2 linked regions of the Tribolium castaneum genome follow. The protein of the gene in region 1 binds, or shares a complex with, the protein of each later gene. Links are inferred from orthologs where the notes say so. Each region holds a gene or a part of one and is shown on either strand. Other genes may lie near its edges.

Region 1 (4,301 bases):
ATCAGCAACCAGCTCCTCATTCTTATCAGGTTCCAAACTGTAACACCTCTTCAATAGCGTATTCTCAACTTCGTTGTACTCGGCTAAATTCTCAACAAAATCGCTAACTTCGTTCTCGTTCGCTAGCAAAAGAAAATGAGCTTCGTTTGCGCGCGCTCGCGCTTTACTATGAATGTAGCTATGGAACGACTGAGGTAAATCGAAACGTATCACTAAATTACATTTAGGAAGATCACAGCCTTGTTCTAACGCCGACGTTGCTATCATTATATTGCATTCGTGACTTCTGTACTTCCGCAAAACTTCCTCCTGCCTTTTATGCTCGGATTCCGCCTCCCGAGGCTCGCGCACCGGATCTGCGATCTTATTCACGGAGAACGAAACCGACACCCACCAATACTCCTCGTCGCTCTTTGACATCACCTGACACAATGCAAACAATCAGCGGGCAAACCATCAATTTCTAAGGCTGAGGGGACCAGCTTAGTATCGCAAGATTTTGCCCAAAGAATAGAAGCTCGAGTTCAAACCATGAAGTCAAGCAGATAAATATAAACAAAAATAGCATTAGACTATTAAAGATAAACTAGACTTGCGTTGCTTCTTCTTTTCAAAAGAAAAGAATTTCTTAGCAAAAGTGAGAGAAGTAAATGCTTCACGTTTAAAGGAAAAATAAAATCACTTCAAACTTATGCAGTTCTCTAAATACTCTAGTGTTTTTTGTAAATATATCCACTTGAGCTTGGCAACTAAATATATAAACGCTAAGAAATTTAACACCAAAATTGACTATCATTAACAAGAAAAAAAAACATTACTCACTGCTGAAATTCTCAATTCTCAAAAACGAGTAATAAATAACCAAGAGATCTTTCACAAAGACTGTCTCAAAAGTACGCTTAAATTTGCTAATGGTATGATACATGTTTGTAAACGGTGTGGGTTTGAGTTCATGAACACCATCAAATATATTTTGCAAAAACATTTATTACCACCGACTGAAAAATTATACAAAAAAATTATGCTTCTTGTCACACAGCAAAACATTTGAAATACCTAATGATTCGGTAATTCTCACATTAATGTTATGTCTTGGTCAGCAAACAGGCCTGATTTAAATATGTCTTGTGTCTTTTTGGCACAAAATGAAAAATTATCTTAAAAATCTTCCACAGTGGTGAAAGATTTAAAAAATAAAATAGAACACATTTGCAACAAAAAACGCTAAAATTCTGTGACAGATCATTAAAAGTATGCCAGTGGGAAGTCGTGACCTCATTAAACCCCCAAAAAAAATAAATCACGAACTACTAGAAAGTTTTTCCTTTTTTTAGTCCAAACAATTAGTTGTCAGATATTTTTCCTGTTTTAATTTTGTGTTAAACATCAAGGGCTTTAAAGTAGTTTTTAAACAGATCATAAGTTACAAAATAAACGTACTTCTTCAATTTATGATTTTAGTGTTAGTTCTGTGGCAAAACCTTGCGACAGGCAGCATTAAAACACGATGGCACTTTAGGGCAACCCCTTAGCCTTACAGGAACACGTCTGCTTTACTTACACACAGTAGGGCGAAGAGGGCCTCCGCCTTGTAGCGATTTTTGACGAAAACGAGTGCGCAGAGCATCTCGTCGCTTTGCGCGCGCGAGATGTACGGCCTTCGGGGCCCTTTGTAGTTTTTCCCTTTTCCCTTCTTGGGGTCTTTGAGGTCTGGTAGTTTGTCGCAAGTTTCCGGCTTATCACCGGTCGGTTTAAACTGCTTTAGAACTTGGAGAAATCTGAGTACTTTCGGCGTTGAGAAACGAAACACCTTTTCCTTATCTGTGTAGTCTTGGAATTCGAGTTCGCAGAGAGCCCTTATCGAAACTAATACTGATGAAGCAACGCATAACAATAAATAATGTCTTTCGTAAGGAACTTTGACTTTGAGCTTCTCGATCTTGATAAGCATGCCATAGGCGGCTCTGTCGGCCGACCAGGGCCCCAAATCGTCCAGAATTTCGAGGAAGTCGTCGAAGAAGCTCAAAGGCTGTTCCTTGGGGTCTGGGACTTGCTTGAATTCCTCGAGCAAGTCATCGTCGTAGATTTCGCTCGGATCGTAGCGGTGGTCCTTGAGGAAATCCTGACAGGAGGTTATAGTGGCCTTGATTTTGTCCTGCAAAGGGCTTGGAATGGGTTTAAAGCACTCGACTATGCGTTCGCGCGGCCGACAAGATAAGCGTATCAGCGTGAGAATTTCACTAGAAGTGTCTACCGAGGAACTAAGTAATTTTTCTAAGCGTTGTAATTCGGCTTCTAGACGATCGGGTTGCATCTCGGAGCCCAAAAGACCGGCAGTCAGGCCCAAAATTCGAGGTCTGGGCGCTTGAATCGCCTGATACCGGGCCATAATTTCCCTAACTAACGACTGTTGCCCCCCGTATAAGCAGTCTATCACGATTAGAGCGTAACTGTCCAAATGAACGAAGTTCTTCTTACATAGAAGCACACAGACTTCGGCTGTGGTCACAATCACATTGCTTGCCTTCAACGACGGGGGGTTTTCCTCTTTATCTATGCTCGTAACGGTCAGATCGGTCAGCAGCTTCACGTGCGACGTCATTATCGGGACGTTCGGGCCGTCCAGCACGAATAAAGCCTGCTTTCCGTGGGGCACCCGCATCTTGTGGGAGAACTCTTGCAGCAGTTTTATTGTTATAAACGCTTTCGCCGAACTCGCACTCGAACATACGATTGTATTACGCTTCTTAGCGCTGTCCAGCAGCTCCACTTGATACTCTCGTGGGGTAAACGTGTGCGTGTAAACATTTTCGTTTAAATAACAAGCCATGTAGGGGTGCTGTACACAACGGAGGACTTATCTAAGCATTTTTCGTTGCTATTATTGCTGATTATGATTGAACTAACTTAGAGACGTCTCACCACCAACGGGATACATCTTTTCTCACTTGGAATATACAAATTATCACAAAAATACCAGTTTAGATTCAAACAACACCACACAGACCGAGCGGGTTTTGACAGTTGACAGCGTTTTGACAATCACTCCAAAAAAATTGAATGTCGGTGAAGAGCATGGTTCAAAAATGGTGCTGGCACCATCAATATTACAGTCGACCAGACAATTTATTTCCCCACCATTCTCGTTTTCTGCAGCCAATTCACACCAGAAAATTTATCAAAATAATCGTAAATCATTATAAAAACATCAATAAGCTGTTACGCTGACTTGCATATCACATTTGTAGAAAATCTCCTGACCATTATAATGTGTTTCTATTACAAATTAAAACTTAACTGTATTTAATTTCTGCATTTTTTATTCTCATATTCAAGCAATGCAAACTGATTTTTTTTCACCCCCTTTATATTCTGCAATTTTCTTTATCTTTGTAAAAGAAGAGTCCTTCGATAGGGCCTTCGACTGTAAAAATGGATTTTTAAAGATTCTTAAAGATTTTCCGATGTCGCAAACTTTTTTTTTCATCTACTTTATATTATGTAATTTTCCTTATTTTTACAGGAGATTATTTTGCAGGAGACTGTAAAAAAATCATGTTCGGACAAACACCCTTGGGACCTTAACAATTTTTTTTAATTTTTATAAAGTTCCTCTATTTTGCAAACTTTATTTTCTTCACCCACTTTATATCCTGCAATTTTCTTTATTTTTGCAGGAAATTAAGCTCTTCGATAGGGCCTTCGACTGTAAAAAAATCATAAAGTACCCCTTGGAACTTTAATGAATTTTTAAAGATTCTTTAAAATTTCCCGATTTCGCAAACTTTATCTTTAAAAATTCATTACAGTGTTCAGAATGGCCCCCAAAAGGCGAATCAATTATTACAGGAAAGGAGGGAAATAGTAAAAATAATGAATACTTTTGCAAAATGCTTTTATAGAAAAGTTGTTGTACTTATATTTTATTATGTGGTAATGAGTGATAAACACTTTTTTTGGTAGATAGAAAGCGTGCCTAACTGCTTAAATAAGCTTTTTAGCACACTCGTATTTTGAAGTTCTCGAATTTCAAAAAATAAAAGTGTTTTTTCTGCGGCTTGACTTTGCTTTAATTCTGTGTCTTCAAAGTAGAATTCTTAGATGGGGAAACTATGTACATTTTTTTTTCTTGATCCGTTAATGTGTAGAATAGTCGAAATATGTTTAGTCGTCAGCAATGAATCTGGCATTTAAAGACACCGTTCACAATTTATTAATGTTTATACACAACTTTATTCAACACATTTTAATTGCTATTAGAAATGATTTTTTTTTTATTTGACAGTTTTTTATTGCTATGA
Region 2 (4,261 bases), on another chromosome or scaffold:
TTACTTCAAATTGTTGCTCGGACGCAATTTCATGCAAAAACTGAATGAAGTTGAAGTCTTTGCTGTTGAGAACTATGTTCTGGAAACGATTTATACAAATGTAAAAACGATACAATTTTCGCATTTTTGCTAAATCAAGTAGTTTACCTGCAACTCCTTTAGCTTCGGCCCATTGGACTGCTTGAGGGCTTTGTGAAACTGTGACACCTTTTGGGTGTGTTGTATGTTGAGTGTCGGTATTTTACTATCTTTCAGACCACTGTAGCGTCCTTGTAAGTTACACATTTTCGCCGCCAACTACAAAATACGTCATTGAATTGAGACAGATTTGCTCGGGATTATTTTTACGAATTTTATTCATTTCAATTTTGTACAGCGCGCTCTGAAAGATCGTAAAAATACCTCAGCAAGATCCAATTTTTTATTAACAATAAGCAAACACAAAAAGCATCCATGTCTGAAGAAGGAAAGCCAAACGAAAAAACTAAACTAAATCAACAGAAACGTCTTACCTCTTCATCGTCGTCGTAACCTTGCGGCAGATTATTGCCCTCTAGAGGCATATCTTGCAGGGCCTGCCACATTTTGTGTGCTGCCATTCTTTTAGCTAATTTTTTTGACTTGCCAGTACCGACTTCTTTGAATTTTAACACTTGACAAGCTATCGTGAACTGGCGTTCGTGTGGAAGACCTTCCTCATGTTCCATCTCATAGGACGGTGGAGGCCATCTCCGAGACATGCACATCTCCTGGAGCCAACCGATAGGGTTCCCCATAACTTTATCATCAAACGGAGACACCACTTGAGCTGTACTGAATACAATATTTCAAATGTTAGACGTTGCGATTTATTGGCCGTACGGATACCTAAAAATTAGGATACGACACGACGTACAAATAAATTCTCCTTTCGTTTTCTTTAACAGCAGTAAATTTAATTTGGCAGTATTTATATAACGCAAAAAAAATGGGAGTTTACGTAAAATACGTAAAGAAATTTTCAAATTTTACGTAAATAAATTTTTTTGCAAATATTTGCTTTGATTTACATAATAACCGTATAAGTATATTAATTATTGCGATTTAAATTTGCGTTTTTTGTTAAAGAATAAATTTTGTCAAATAATGAAACATTAGGAAAAATACAAACTGTATCGACAACAAGAAAGAAATTTTCTTAAATGAGACAAGTTTTCATTTAACAAATCGGCCAATATGTGGAACAAATCAACAGAAAAAGGACAATAACTCTATTAAAAAATTCCAACTTTTTCATTAACGTTTTTTTATAAAGATTTTTGTTAAATAGTAAGTAAGCTAAATCGATCAAAATCAGCCAAAGAAAATGTAAATTTAAAAACATACTCTTGTGATGTTCTTCAATGAGTTCATAAAATTCTCTTACAATATGCGACTTTTCTTTGCAAAGTCATGTGTATGTGTGTGTGTGTGTATGTGTGTGATTTGTAAGTTCATCAAAATATAGCCTTATTTTCGTATCAATTTTAAACTAAACCTCAAGTAGTTCACAGACTAATCTAACTATATTTCATAAACTTCTCGAAAATAGTAAAATGTGCAACAATAAAGGAAAGAATATGTTTTTTAGCTCCATTTTATGTTTGATTGAATCACCAGCAATAGATATCCAAAAAAAAAATTGAAATTCGTTTCGCCTCCTAATATTTAGTTTTCCGTAGTTATATGCTGATTTATTTACATATCGTTGGCTCCGGGAGTCCCGTTAGAAGCGTTGGCTTGTTCTGGACTCTGTTTGCCGACCAAAACATCAAGCAGATTCTTCGCAGCAGCGTGTTTGGCGTCTTTTTTCGACCTCCCTGTTCCAGTAGCAACCAAATCGTTATTAATAAACACCCTGTAGCGGAATATAGGTTCGTGAATAGCCCCCTCGATTTGGACTAGTTCGTACTTAGGCGTCGCCCCACGACGACTTAATAACTCCTGAAGTACTGAAACAGGAGTTTTGGTCGGCAACGACGCCATCTCCTAAAACTCAGTTAGTATCAAAAAAAAATTATAATAATAATTAGAAAAATCGCACCAATTTAGCCTCTTCGCTCAGAGACAAGCGTTCAGCCTGCATTCCGTGTAAAGTATTTCTGTTGTTTTTCCTCCTAGGATGGACGTTGTGTATTTGACTTGAGGAATGCAGAAGCGTCATATTTGGGTCCATGCGAAATTGCTGAAAAGAAAAATCGTTGCAAGGTTTGACAATTGGAAAACTGGCGCGAATAAAAAACCGACCATCACCACGAGAATAAAGGCATAACAAATCCTCGATTTTTTTAAATTTCTTTACCTGTTCAACTGGCGGAGGTACAAACATCTCGCCGCTTGTCGGCCCTTAATTTCCGCTTCCCGTACTGAAGAAAACGAGCAAATTATATTCCATTCGCCCTACACAACTCAAAGATTTTAAATCAACAACACAAAAGAAAAGAGAGAGAAACTGGTAACGGTTTCAACAAAGCGACCCCTTCGCATTCACACCCCTAAAGCAACGGTCAAAATTTTTAACTAAAACTATTAGTTTCGGTACTTAAAATACAAATTTACTCCAAATTTTTTTGTTATTATAATTTTTGTAAAAAGAGCCGGTAAAGAAGGTTCATAAATATTCCACTAACAACCCATAATTCGCAATAGACAACACAACTCTATTGTAGCAAAATTATATGTAAAACAGTAAAATTACTTACAATTATTTAGAATTTTTTATTACACTTTGAAATACAATCGTCGCTATAAACACTGTAATGGCGACGTTTTTTGATGGACACAAACGTCAAATGGTTAAACAGTTCGCATGCGAAGAAGTAACATTCTACAGTAGCGCCACTTAGCGGGAATTCGTTGCTACCAACTTTTGTTCTTTTTAGAAATCCATAAACGACGAAAAATGTGGTTACCAACATGAATTTTGGTCATTTCACTATTTTTTAATATTTGCAAGATAATAATAATAAATTTGATCCAAAAACAATAATTTTTACTTTTTACTGATGTATTTTATTTACAATTACACATCTCTTAACATCCTCTTGTCAAAGTAATCACAAATCGCCCAATTTTCCGCTTGAAAACTATTTAAAAATGTGTAATTTTAAAATTGTCATATTCTTAGCCTATTTACGACCAACTAGACTGTAAAAAAATCACACAAGATCCTCATTTCTGACCAAGATGCGTTTACGAACGCTTGTTTTGGTATTTGTATTTTTGTTAACATTCTCTCCAAGCTCTGAAATTATCTTCGACAGTTTCATTGCTACAAATGGTAAGAAAACTTAATAAAAAAGTTACTGTATACTATTGTGTAATTCTTCTAATTTAAAATTTTAGAAATGGAAGGAGCGCGTAAAAAGAAAAAAGGAGGTGGCAGCAAATACACTGTACCACTTCTTTTCGGAGCTTTAATGATCAAATCTATTATTTTTCCGTTAGCTTTTAAAACTATGGCCGTAATGTCAAGCATTGCAATACTTTTAAGTACTATGAGTTTAATTATGTCATCAATCGTGGGATACATCAGAATGGGACTTAAGTCTGCCCCTGTTAAAGTTGTTCATAAACAACCACCATCGCCCTTCAATAATTGGGCCAAAGATGATGATGGTAAAAATTATTACACACTCGGAGATAATTATAATTATGATTTGGTGGCACCACCACCCAGATAAGTAAAAAATATGTTATGTAACATTTATTTAACCCAAATAAAATGTTTTAATAACAATCACTTTTTCCCTTCTGATTATTAAAATGTACTGCTTCTCTGTTGTATTGTATGGCTATAACTGGTAATTGTTTGGAAGCTACTGATTTCTAGGAAACGTGAAACGTCAGACTTGACGTTTTTAGGTTATTCCTTTTAACCTCGCATTTTTTTGTTAAATATAAAAAAATGACTAAAAACTATTTCTTTATAATAAAAAATGACTAAGTAAACGCGTGACTGAACGTAGTAATTATAAATTAAACTTTATCAGTGTCAAATTTATAAATCGCTGGATTTTATCAAAGAAGTGTCAAGAATATGTAAACAATGGCTACATTTCACGTTTTGCAAGAAGGTCCTGTAAATGCTTTAGCCTTAAATAGAGACAATACTCAAGTGGCAATTGGTGGACGCAATGGTAGCACAAATTAAAAGGAAAAATTGTTCATTCATTACAAAGCACTTATTTTTGTAGTGTTCAAAGTTTACACAATTGAAGAAGACAAATTCCGCGAAGTGTGC

What was found.
Region 2: the proteins of Dcr-1 (region 1) and RISC-loading complex subunit tarbp2 are in contact, whole or in part, in a cryo-EM structure (PDB 8DGJ), measured with the Drosophila melanogaster proteins. The link is inferred for Tribolium castaneum from reciprocal best matches to the Drosophila melanogaster genes Dcr-1 and loqs. Residues at the interface, in NP_524453.1 of Drosophila melanogaster: His245, Phe248, Asp251, His252, Arg253, Asp255, Glu258, Ile259, His303, Tyr306, Gln307, Glu310, Lys311, Lys313, Arg320, Leu323, Cys326, Leu327, Ser329, Thr330, Ile333, Gln334, Tyr336, Ser337, Leu338, Glu340, His341; in NP_609646.1 of Drosophila melanogaster: Thr358, Gln359, His360, Ser361, Lys363, Val364, Phe367, His368, Lys372, Ile414, Glu415, Glu416, Lys417, Thr418, Phe419, Gln422, Gln424, Pro433, Val434, Gly435, Val436, His438, Ser440, Asn454, Tyr458, Ile461, Met462, Lys464, Lys465.

Annotation. Positions count from the first base shown.
Region 1 is NC_087403.1:8,547,203-8,551,503, forward strand, and holds the start of Dcr-1 (endoribonuclease Dcr-1), read right to left. Parts: upstream 3,047-4,301; 5' UTR 2,923-3,046; intron 2,862-2,922; 5' UTR 2,831-2,861; coding exon 1,562-2,830; intron 424-1,561; coding exon 1-423. UniProt on the Drosophila melanogaster protein: Endoribonuclease which functions in microRNA- (miRNA) gene silencing and, independently of its ribonuclease III activity, also acts in the short interfering RNA- (siRNA) gene silencing pathway.
Region 2 is NC_087395.1:26,693,391-26,697,651, reverse strand, and holds the start of RISC-loading complex subunit tarbp2, read right to left. Parts: upstream 2,866-4,261; 5' UTR 2,721-2,865; intron 2,427-2,720; exon of another isoform or gene 2,419-2,426; 5' UTR 2,348-2,418; coding exon 2,321-2,347; intron 2,204-2,320; coding exon 2,063-2,203; intron 2,008-2,062; coding exon 1,721-2,007; intron 814-1,720; coding exon 513-813; intron 298-512; coding exon 148-297; intron 80-147; coding exon 1-79. Other genes in the region: GATOR2 complex protein WDR24, read left to right, coding at 4,067-4,157, 4,215-4,261.